Linked DNA regions of Arabidopsis thaliana. The protein of the gene in region 1 interacts with the protein of each later gene in a pairwise test. Each region holds a gene or a part of one and is shown on either strand. Other genes may lie near its edges.

Evidence for each region.
Region 2: the proteins of PIP1;4 (region 1) and AT5G61630 interact in a protein complementation assay, tested with the Arabidopsis thaliana proteins (one large-scale study listed by BioGRID).
Region 3: the proteins of PIP1;4 (region 1) and AT1G67470 interact in a protein complementation assay, tested with the Arabidopsis thaliana proteins (one large-scale study listed by BioGRID).

What each region holds. Positions count from the first base shown.
Region 1 is NC_003075.7:184,744-189,412, reverse strand, and holds PIP1;4 (plasma membrane intrinsic protein 1;4), read left to right. Parts: upstream 1-1,732; 5' UTR 1,733-1,881; coding exon 1,882-2,212; intron 2,213-2,515; coding exon 2,516-2,811; coding exon of another isoform or gene 2,812-2,844; exon of another isoform or gene 2,845-2,939; coding exon 2,940-3,080; intron 3,081-3,174; coding exon 3,175-3,270; 3' UTR 3,271-4,128; downstream 4,129-4,669. UniProt on the Arabidopsis thaliana protein: Aquaporins facilitate the transport of water and small neutral solutes across cell membranes.
Region 2 is NC_003076.8:24,772,659-24,776,422, forward strand, and holds AT5G61630 (uncharacterized protein), read right to left. Parts: upstream 1,921-3,764; 5' UTR 1,845-1,920; coding exon 1,601-1,844; intron 1,345-1,600; coding exon 1,145-1,344; 3' UTR 850-1,144; downstream 1-849. Other genes in the region: AT5G61620 (myb-like transcription factor family protein), read left to right, coding at 1-43, 117-328, 427-849; PMSR1 (peptidemethionine sulfoxide reductase 1), read left to right, coding at 2,368-2,805, 3,238-3,489.
Region 3 is NC_003070.9:25,270,422-25,274,372, forward strand, and holds AT1G67470 (Protein kinase superfamily protein), read left to right. Parts: upstream 1-1,700; 5' UTR 1,701-1,825; coding exon 1,826-2,995; 3' UTR 2,996-3,439; downstream 3,440-3,951. Other genes in the region: AT1G67460 (Minichromosome maintenance (MCM2/3/5) family protein), read right to left, coding at 1-192, 561-1,196.

The DNA.
Region 1 (4,669 bases):
CCAATAAAACAATACACATGTTCAACGGGTTCTTCCACGTGTCAAACTTATGTTGGCTGGACGGTATGTGACTGTGCATTGTGGTTACGTTTCCAAAATGAATACGTAAGAACTTTTCCTAAATTATGTCTTTTGCACAATACTGTAAGTCTGTAACTATGGTACTAAACATTATAATATCGAATTGGAAACATTTACATTTGAGAATTTTAGTGTTTGTTGGCAACGAAGCATGTGAGATCACAGAGAAGCAATACTCATCTCTGAGCTGTTCAAACAGTTTTACATGTCAGCACCCAAATATAGTCACTATATTCAAAAACAAAATTATTTACTTGCATTCAATGCTAGCCTTTTTTATTCGGTCCACAACAAATTATAAATATTTGTATATAAGAAAAATCAGAGACCTGATTTTGTAATGCGTGGCTTGTCAATTTCAAGCAACACAGAAAAAAGCTAACTAAGCAAAAAACAAAAAAAAATAACAAGTGGCTGGTTGATAGAATGTATCTTTCATCAGTACATAACACTGTTTTTTTGTCAACGTAAAACAGATTTTTATAACTTTTGTTTGCCCTCAACTTTTTTCATTACATTTTCTGGAATATCGCATGGTTGAATAATTAAAAGTTAAAAATGATTTTTATGAAGCACGGCATTATACTATATAGTCAGTCCCAACGAAAATGACTTTACATAAAGCTGTCAATTTTTTCTCCAACGGTCAGATAATTGTTTCGTTGAATAGTCAGTTTTTTTTTTACTATTTTACTATTGGGCTTTATTGGGCTCTTACAATTTTATCGATTTTTGTTTACCGTCCAGAAAGTGGACCCTGTGGGAAGAGGAAAAGAAAAAAAAAGGGTCAGGTTTTTTGTCTTTATACGAGAGCACATCGGTACGTTCCAGAACAACCCTCTCTAGTCTCCTCCATCATTATCTTTATTTAATAGTAACCCTAGTACAAATTACCAAACTATTCAACATTAACATAATTATTCAACATTCACCATCATGAATAATAACTAGTTGAGAAAAACGTAACTAGACTAGTTTGATCTGTCAACATAAAAAGAGAAAAAAGAATTTCGTGACTAGTAAAGTTTAAGACCATTCACAAATGATCATTGAAATTATTAGTTCTAAACTCTTAGTTTGGTTATCTATTTGGTTTTGATTCGTATCTATTTGGTTATTCGGTTTTTTGGTTTTAAAGTTTAGTATTCATTCGACTATTTTGAAATTTTGGTTCGTTTTTTTTTTTTTTTTTGAAATTTAATATCCATTCGATTATTTTGCTTTTAATATTTTTAAATATTTCAATTATTTTTTGATATTTTTTGAATATTGTTACTATTTAATATATATTTTTAAATATTTTTAATTACTAAGTATAGAAATAACTAATATTTTTGAAAATAAAATTATATTTTGGATATTTTAGATCATCTAAAATATTTTAGTTAGGTACTAATTCATTTTTGGTTATTTTGATTATAAAATTTAATATCTATTCAACAATTTTTAAATTGTTGATTCAATTCGGTTCTGTTTTTTTTTTTCATTTAGGTTTAGTACATTTGGTTCAGTTTATTTGACTCTCAGTTTATTTGCCTAAGCCTTGAAATTAGGTGTTAACTATTGGTTATTCTAGTTGAAATTTGAAATAAAGAAAAAACTATACGTTATACTATTTTATTTTCTTAGCAATAACTAAAAATAAATGTTTGGAAACGTTAGGCAATTTTATTATATTCTATCGTTGTTCTCTATAAATGAAGTCTCGACCACACACTTGGTAGCTACACACGAGAAAGAAAAAGCTCACAACTTTAACCTTTCTGGAGAGAGAAGAACAAAAGAGGGAGAGGGAGAGAAATGGAAGGCAAAGAAGAAGATGTACGAGTGGGAGCTAACAAGTTCCCGGAGAGGCAACCCATCGGTACATCGGCTCAGTCCACCGACAAGGACTACAAAGAGCCACCTCCTGCGCCACTGTTCGAGCCCGGCGAGCTCAGCTCATGGTCTTTCTACAGAGCCGGAATAGCTGAGTTTATCGCTACTTTCTTGTTTCTCTACATCACTGTTTTGACTGTAATGGGAGTTAAGAGAGCACCAAACATGTGTGCTTCTGTTGGAATCCAAGGTATCGCTTGGGCTTTTGGTGGCATGATCTTTGCTCTTGTCTACTGTACTGCTGGAATTTCAGGTAACCTTCTCTCGATTTTCCCATTTTTCTGTAATCTCTGTTTTGGTGGGTTCTCTGTTTTGGTTCTGCTTTATTTGCTCTGTTTTGTTTCTGAAAACCATTATGTGAGTCCTCTGTTTTTGTTCATGCTCTGTTTGACCTAGAAAATGTAAAGGAACCAAAAACAGTTATAAAGCAGGAAACTTTGGGTTCTTTTGATGCTTGGGCTTATCTAGATCTGTATGTTACACCAATTTTACTGTTGATTTCTCAGATAAAGCTCACATCTTTGTGTAACATGTGTTTGTGTTTGTGTGTTTTTAGGTGGACACATCAACCCTGCTGTAACATTCGGTCTGTTCTTGGCTCGGAAGTTATCTCTGACCAGAGCAGTGTTCTACATGATTATGCAATGTCTTGGAGCCATCTGTGGTGCCGGAGTCGTCAAAGGTTTCCAGCCAACGCCGTACCAGACTCTCGGTGGTGGTGCTAACACCGTTGCTCATGGCTACACCAAAGGTTCTGGCCTTGGTGCTGAAATCATCGGAACATTCGTTCTCGTCTACACTGTCTTCTCCGCCACCGACGCCAAGAGAAGCGCCCGTGACTCACACGTCCCGGTATGGACCCCTCTCTTAGTTCCGGTTTGCTGATTTTATTGCTTTAATTAGACTACTAACCGATCGAATTTCCCCGGTTTTATTGGTTTAACAGTTTATGACTAATAATTGGTCACTCTCTATTGTAGATTTTGGCGCCGCTCCCAATCGGATTTGCAGTGTTCTTGGTACACTTGGCAACAATACCGATCACCGGGACCGGAATCAACCCAGCTAGAAGTCTTGGAGCCGCAATTATCTACAACAAGGACCACTCTTGGGATGACCATGTGAGTAAACAACTCTAATGAAAAGGACAACTCAAAACGTATTATGATGTTTTCTAATATATTTGAATTTGTAAAATTGTGGTGGTTGTTGCAGTGGATTTTCTGGGTTGGACCATTCATTGGAGCAGCTCTAGCAGCACTATATCACCAGATTGTCATCAGAGCGATTCCTTTCAAGAGCAAGAGTTAGAGACACACAGAAAGATTCCACGGTCCAGAATTTGTTCTTTAGTAGTTTCTTTGCTTATCTATCTAATGTAGCTTGTGTTTTGCAATGTAATGAGCCTTTCAAGAATATGTATTTGGGATTTCTAATCAGCTTTTGTCTATGTAAAAACTATGTGTTTCTTTTTTCTTCCTATACTCGTCTCAGATGCTTTATGGCAAAGGGTCTCTGAAGTCTAAGGTGATTAGTGCTCCGGTTATTGATGTTTTGAATAGTTTGTTCGACGAATATAAAATAAACATAGTCAACCCTCATTCTGTATCAACATCAAGTTCTCGGGTTGGTTTTGAGAGACATGATTATGAAGATGATCATGACTTCGTGAATGTGGGGGTTGAAGGATTGGCCTCTGTTTATGACAAGATGGTGAATGAAGAGCTTGACTATTGTGTACTTGCAAGAAAGTGTTGAAAACACAAGGGCCAATACATTGGAAACAGAATATGATGTGTTTCATACTAGAAGCTCAGTAGTCTTAAGCTTCCGGTTTTATTTGTACTAGCTAGAGATATTCTAGCTATGCAAGTTTCTTCTGTAGCTTCTGATTCTTGTTTTAGCACCAGTGGTCGGATCTTAGAGCCACAGAAAAGTTGCTTAACACATTATATGATTGAGGTCTTGTTGTGTACTGAACAATAGATGATTTAAATAATTTTTGTGATTTTTTTTTATTTTAGTTTCCTAAATTTTAGTAACAAAATCGATTTATAGATTTGATAATAAGTTTGTTAAAACATTTAATGCCAATGGCATTGGGTTGTAAATAAGTTCAAACTCCAGGATTTATTTCATAAAAGTGTTGCAAAAATATATAAGTAGATTCTGTACCGTTTGTAATATGGGTTAGTTTTTGATATTTTTTCTCCGTTATTATTTTGTTTGTTTTCGATATTATTTGTTTTTTTTTACAAATAATTTTGTTTTTTTTATTGCATCATTCTATTATAACCCGATTGACAATAAATAACCAAATTTTTCTTTATCGGTTAAAAAACTTTAAATGATTTATTATTTGTTTATATTTTAGATTGTGCATATATTTCTTTGATTCAGTATTATGTGTTTTAAAAAATTTGAATCATAATATATGCAGAAAAAACAAGAAATTTATTAACCATATATAATTTATAATAATTCAAATAATATAAGTACATAAAATCAAATAAAAGTGAAATGAGAATTATGTATTTATGTTTATTAGGTAGAGAGGTTTTAGAAAATTAGCCCAAACATTTTATATTAGCATTAAATCATCATATTTAATTTTTTATCTACAAAAATTGTAAAGAATATACCATATATAAAAAATTTAGATATAGTAATTATTTTTTATAAATTAAATTCGTTTTTGGGTTTTGTCATA
Region 2 (3,764 bases), on another chromosome or scaffold:
ATTCATTCCAAGAAGGGTAAAACTGCTCATGAGAAGAAAAAGGGTACGTAATCTTCTAATCTCATCAATTTGATAATCTAAATTCAATGAAATTAATAAGAATAAATCAAATTCAGGGAAGCCATGGACGGAAGAAGAACATCGTAATTTCTTAATCGGTTTAAACAAACTCGGAAAAGGAGATTGGAGAGGCATTGCAAAGAGTTTCGTGTCGACAAGAACACCAACACAAGTCGCAAGTCATGCTCAGAAATATTTTATTAGGTTAAACGTTAACGACAAGAGAAAAAGACGTGCTAGTCTCTTTGACATCTCTCTCGAAGATCAGGTACTTATTTACCTTGTTTCTCAAGTAATCCATTGAGTCAATTGATTTGTCTAGGGCTATTTTTTAATTTAGGGTTTAATTGTTTTTTCATTAAACAGAAGGAGAAAGAGAGGAACTCTCAAGATGCTTCAACAAAGACTCCACCTAAACAACCAATAACCGGAATTCAACAACCGGTAGTACAAGGTCATACTCAAACCGAGATTTCGAACAGGTTTCAGAATTTATCAATGGAGTATATGCCAATCTACCAACCCATACCACCTTACTACAACTTTCCACCTATTATGTACCATCCAAATTATCCAATGTACTATGCCAACCCTCAAGTACCGGTTAGGTTTGTTCATCCTTCTGGTATACCTGTTCCAAGACATATACCGATTGGTTTGCCTCTGTCTCAACCGAGTGAAGCTTCTAATATGACAAATAAAGACGGTTTGGATCTTCATATCGGTTTGCCTCCACAAGCTACTGGAGCTTCTGACTTGACTGGTCATGGCGTTATTCATGTGAAATGAAATCTCATTTTTTGTGTGTTTATTTAAGCATGATATAGGTATATTGCTTCTTTTTTTTGGTGTTGAGTTTTATTTGAATATATAGCTCCATATTCAAAAGTTTTGCCAATCGGATTATGTATCATTTTTATTTCTTCCCAGATTAGATTAAATAAGAATATAGATATATTTGGATTTATATTTAGCTGCTTCTTTATCAACCAAAAACAAAACAAAAAAAATCTTAGTTTTGGTGAAGTTTATTGAGTAAAATCAACATTCATTGGGAGAAAATTAAAAAAATGGTGTTGATTAACTAGTAAAATCCTTTGATCAATTTCCTAGAAGCTCGTCTGGTTCTATCAGTGAGGTTTGGTTTGTCAGGATCTCCGAGTTCTAAGGTGGCACCCAAGAAACCGGTCTGAGTTCCATCGCTATCATTGTCGATGTCTCCTTCGATCGTCAATCCTTCAATCTTAGCCGCAATAGATTCTTCTCTCATCCCAACATCCACATCTTCAAAATTTGGATCGATGTTATAAGTGCCACAAAGAATAAAGTATCAACATGTAACAGTTACATAAAATATTTCCCAACTTCACAACCGCCAAATGCAGACATGATCTCTCTACCATTTGCAATCCAATTTGATCATGTTGGATTATTGCGGATGAGTTCGTGGTTAACAACATGCATGTTTTTTCTTTCACTTTAAAACCGGGCATGGTTTGATCAAACACAAGCATGTTTTTGGCTCACTAATTGTATATACCTGGATTTGAGAAGAGCCAAAGTACGAGAGCGCATGCAAGGAGAACAAATGGTATGATGTGAATGGCGTTTTCTGCGAATTTGGCACGTGACTTCTCCTTCTTAACCATCTCCTCTGGTGGATTATTGTAGGAAGGTAGTTCGTTCTCGTCGAGGGGACCGATCACCGAGCCCATCCACAATCCCTTAGGCGGTGCGGATGAGTAGTCTTCTGGCACTCGGTTCCAGCTCGCGGATCTATACATTTTGATAAGTATTTTTGGTTTTGATAGGTGTGTTCCAAAAACTCTATAGAAATTACGTTTTTAGGATGTTGATGGTTTTTGAGCTTAATCAGTTTCTTTGTTACATTTTAGTCACAGTTTTTTATTTCTTAGAAGAAAAAAGAATCCGGATTGAATTGCGAATTTAGAGCCTATGGTTTTGGTACATTTGGATCGAAATAAGGACTTTGTCAAATCGTTCAATCTAATCACTCATTTTTCCATTTGAGAGTGACAAAAACAACCATTTCTTTAGATTCTTTGTTTTCTTCTTCTATTTCTGTGACATTTTATAAACATATGATTTGATCATGCTTGAAACTAACTAATCTTAGTTTTAAGATTTTAAAGATTAAAAAAAAAAAAAAAAAAAAGATTTTAAAGATTGTCAATTTGAACTGCTTGAATGAAATGTCAACCAAAACTGGTTTCTAAAATTATTTTTATCGTTATTCAAAACGTAAACGCAAACGCGAATTTTATACCTGTCAGAATTTGGTACAAAATGTTCCGCAGAATCAGCCGACGTTTCCTCTTCACCACTTTCCTCTGTTTCTCTGTTTCGCTCTCTCTACAAAATTTCTCCATGAACATACTTAACAAGCTAGGTATAGGATCAAGTAGACAAACCAACATGGATCCTTCTCCAATCGCACAAGTAATCGACGACGAAGCTCCGGCGCCGGGAAACCAGTTTACTCAATTCGGCGCCGGTTGTTTCTGGAGCGTGGAATTAGCGTACCAGAGAGTTCCAGGAGTGACTCAAACAGAGGTTGGTTATTCTCAAGGGATCACTCACGATCCTTCTTACAAAGATGTTTGTTCAGGTACCACGAATCATGCCGAGATTGTTCGTGTTCAATATGATCCAAAAGAGTGTAGTTACCAGTCGCTGCTTGATTTGTTCTGGTCTAAGCATGATCCCACCACTTTGAATCGGCAGGTAACGAAAGTTTTGCTCTTTAGAATGTCTGATTTTGTGAGTTTTAAGTTTTGATTTTGGTGATTGAGGAAGATTTCTAGGGTTTCTAGGGCTTGCTTGAAATATTGAGCTCTAAATAGATTGAAATCTAGGGTTTGGATGATGTAATACTTTGGATTCATTTCATGTTCTGTTGGTACAAAATTTAGGTTTTATGTTTGAAACTGAACAGAGAGACTCATACATCTTCTCTTTGATAAGGATGTGAATTTGGCTATCGTTCTTGTCATCTTTGGTCACTGAACCATCCTTATGTGTATTTTGGTAGTTTCTTAGAGAGCACTTAACCAGCTCTTATGCAGAATCACTATTTATTTGGTAGTTTATCTGCTTGTCGTGCATTATGTTCGAATTTGTTTCTCTGTTTTAATGAGTACATCCTTATCTGATCAGGGAAATGATGTGGGAACCCAATACCGTTCAGGGATATATTTCTACAACCCGGAGCAAGAGAAACTAGCACGCGAGTCACTGGAGCGGCACCAGCAACAAGTTGACAGGAAGGTTGTGACAGAGATCTTACCGGCTAAGAAATTTTATAGAGCTGAGGAACATCACCAGCAATACTTGTCTAAAGGAGGGAGGTTTGGTCTTAAGCAATCAACGGAAAAAGGCTGCAACGACCCAATCCGCTGCTACGGGTAAAAGCCTTGCTTCTAACCGAAAGCAGAGGATGCTTCCACTTATCTATGATAGATTATAGCAATTATCGTTGAAAAATAAAGAAGCCGAGGCTACTTATGTAACTTGTTCTTGTTCATAAAACTTTTTAAGTGTTCAATCCTTTAGGTATATAGTATTGTTTGGATGTTCTCGATTGAATTTGTTCTTGTAAGATTCATCAAAACTAGTTTGAGTAAAACGTAAAATGATTTTTTAGTGTCTTTTACTCAGCATCAGTTTTAGTTAGTGTACTAGGC
Region 3 (3,951 bases), on another chromosome or scaffold:
AATGTCACCACCGTAGCTACTTCTCAATATATTGATTAAGCTGGACTTTCCAACACCACTAGGTCCAACAATGACAGAAGTCTGATTTCGCAGGTTAAACGCAATCTCATCAATTCCGACTTTAGTTCCCACACTACAGAACAATGGTTCATAGTTCCAACTACGCAATCTTATCTTCCAAGATTCCACTTCCTGAAAACAAGATCATTACTCTAATCAAACCCTGAAATCGAGTCTAAACTATAAAGCAGCAAGTGTTCTGAACTAGTAGTGAACTAATGAGCTATGAAATTCCAGGATATGGTTCTAATCAATCCCCTGAAATAGAGTACAAAGGATCAAAGTGGTCTAAACTAGTCGTGAACTACGCAATGTCTTTCTAGCAAAAACAGTGGTGCATAGTTCCAACTACACAATCTTATCTTCTAAGATTCCAAGTCCTGTAAACAAGATCATTGCTCTACTTAAACCCCTGAAATGGAGAGTATAAACTAGTAGTGAACTATGCAATTTACTTCCTACCAAAACCTAGTTGAGTCAATATGATTCATCATCCTTACCTCTTGAGTGACGAGTTCACATTTGTTCAAAGCAACTGTGATTCGAATTCCAATAGATTCAGCTTCCACCAAGAACCTAGTAAGTGTAAATGGATCAATCTTAGGTTGATCAAGAGAAAACAGAATCACTAAGTGATCAACATTCGCAACCGGTGGATCCAAAACCTCCGAGACTCGATCAAACACATTGATAATCTTAGCTCTCCGATCAACCCAATCAACTTTATCAACGAGAACTTTATCACCAACAAGAACAGTCCTACCTATCTTCTTCAGTAACTTTCTCACCACACAAAGCAACTCAACGCCAATCTTATCATCCTCTCCATTATCACTCTCAGGTACATCTTGAACAATGACGCGCATGTAGTCAGCTAGAGCGGTGGCGATTGTACCGATGGCTTGAAGCTCAACGAGGTTAGGTTTTTCGTCTAACGGGAGAACCGGAGCTAAGAAGGATCTGAGAATAGTCTTGTTCGGGTGGGGATTTTTAGTGACATTAGGGTTCTCTTGTCGTATCGCTGAGAGAAAATAAAAGCTGCGGCGGATTCGGAGACCAGTTCCAAATCCGCCGTGATAGATCGTTGTACGACGGAGGATGGAGGTGAGAGCGGCGGCGGAAGAAAATGTCTGCATAGGTAAAATCTAGAAGGTTCTAAGAAATGGCTTGTCTTCCAAGATATTAGTGTTGACATTGATTACAGAGAGAGAGGGAGAGAGATCTTCGCATTAAATTTGTAATTGCTGAATATATGATGTTTACTCTTGCGCTGGGCAAAATATTCGTTAGATCCGATTTGATCCGTTATTCGGTTGAATTCGATTCGAAAAATCTGGATGTCCGTCGTTTTACAAGGCAAATCAAACACTGAAAAATAATATCTTCTTGCTTTGTTTTAAATGTTGATTTAAGGGAATGTTTTGTGTTTATCAAAAAAAAAAAGGGGAATGTTTTGATTGGTGGAGTGTTGCTTTGAGAAAGAATGAAAGAATAATAAGCAGAGGGAGTCAAAGCCTCAAAGGATTCGGAATAGTTTGACTTAAGTTTTTACACAGTAACAGACCAGAACAAACCGGTTGACACTCTTAAAAAATAAAATAAGAAAAGTAGTAGTAGTACACTTGTATTGCTATCTTTACGCGGTATTGAATATTCAACAAAGAATTTAGCTAAATACATTTCGTTATCATCAACTCAGTGTGAGGTCTTTCTTCATTTGGTTTCAAGAGAAAGTTTTTTTCCTTTTTCTAATTTACGTTTTGAGATGGGTTGGTGGAGGAAGAAGAAGAAGCCTAAATCCGAGATAGCTTCCGAAAGAGGAGCGAAGCTGTTAAAAGATCTGATCGAATGCTGCGATGGCAAATCCAATCCCATCAAATTCTTTTCTGCTGATGAGATCCGCAAAGCCACCAACAATTTCGGCGTGTCTAATCTTGTTTCCGAATTATCTCATGATTTTGACTACAAATGGTATTCAGGCAAGAACGAGAACCATGACATGATACTTGTCAGGAAAGCTTTTTCCCAGTCCGTCTACTACAAAGATACATTTTTCCGCGACATAGCAGTTTCATCAATGGTGAGTGGTCACAAAAACTTCCTGAAATTGATTGGATATTGTCTTGAGTTTGAAGAGCCAGTCATGGTTTATCATGGTGTCAAGAAACATTATCATTTAGAATCAAGTGAACAGCCGTGGAAAAGGAGAATGAAGATAGCAGAGGATATCGCTACTGCTTTAGCTTACCTTCACACCGCCTTCCCAAGGCCCTTCGTATATAGGTGTTTGTCTCTTACGAATATATTATTGGATGAAGATGGTGTCGCGAAGCTGATGGATTTCTCTTTCTGCGTCTCAATACCAGAAGGAGAAACATTTGTCCAGGTTGACTATATAGCGGGAACAGTTGATTACTTGAAGCCTAATTACTTGAAGCATGGTGTAGTCTCAGAGGAAACGGATGTCTTTGCCGTTGGACATTCCATGCAAATGCTTCTAATGGGGGAAAAAATATTTGATAGGATTATGAGAAGACCATTTCCTACATCAAAATTTATGGAAGAGCCAAAAATGGATGAGATTGCAGATCCAGAAATGGGCGAAATTTCAGAAGAAGAGCTTTGTCAAATGAAAGCTTTCCTATTGCTCTCACTGAGATGCACCGGTCATGTTGGGGAAGTTCCAACTATGGTGGAAGTGGCTAAAGAACTAAAGAGTATTCAAAGATGTCTTCACAATGACACTTTTTCTCCTTCAGTTGAAACCCAATTCGACTCTCATCAAGACATTTCTTCCTCGGTAATCCTCTCAAACCAAACTAAAGACACTAGGGCATTGCTAAGATGTATTGCCTGCCACGTATTTGACGAAATGTTTCAATGGGTTATGATGAATTGGTTTCGTTTTTTCAGAAGAAATCGAAGAATATGCTGAAAATAACTTCGGTTCTTGTTTTTTTATTCAGACATTATCAATCGCAAAGCTTTAGTTTCTTTACCTTTGTCAGATCTTGTTGGGAAAAATGACCAAAGAGATTAAGATGGCACCGAGACAACTAGAAAGGCAAGCATATATAAGTATTTTTGTGTATTTGTGAAGAGAACAGAACAAGAGTAGTTAACTTTGTAACTCTTTTATTGCTTACTTCAGATGATTACAAATGCCAAGCACTTCTAACAAATGTACACAAAACTTCTATTTCTTTTTATGTGACTTTTGCCTATCAAAGCTTGATTCATTTTCTTTCTTTCTAAACCTAAATCGAATCAATCTTTGAACGGTTGTGCAAAGGATAGACAATTAATAATTCGAATAGCGTTGTAATCTTCAATTGTATAATGGTCTTCCTCTTCTTTCTTCATTCATGTAATCGCTTTGTTCTCCTTTTGGAACTACTCATTTTAGTCCTCTTCATTGCCTCCCTCCATAGTGAACTGATTGTTTGATTATATTTTAAATAATATATTCTAGTTAGATTTATAAACTGTCTAAACACGAAGAAAAATAGTTGTATACCTTTTTTTTTTGTGTCAAACTAAAAAATAGTTGTATTACCTTTATTCAAGATTTCCAAAACATCCGAACGAAAAACAAAAAGATTTTATCCAAAGCCTGAGGTGACTCACGGCCATGTAACATATGTGGTTTACTCTAATTAACAAATGGATCAAATGGGGTTTTATACGTTAAAGGCTAATCAAAATTAAAATATGAACCGTCAAAAATGGCTAGCTACCACATAACTTGTCAACATCGCGCGGACAAATGATTATTACAAAGAAAACGATTTTTAAAAAGTGAAACGATCGCTTTCAGGTCGCCGCTTTTAGATTCAGAATTTCATAAATAAGTAGGCTATAGATTAAATAAGAGATTAACAAGCCTTCTTT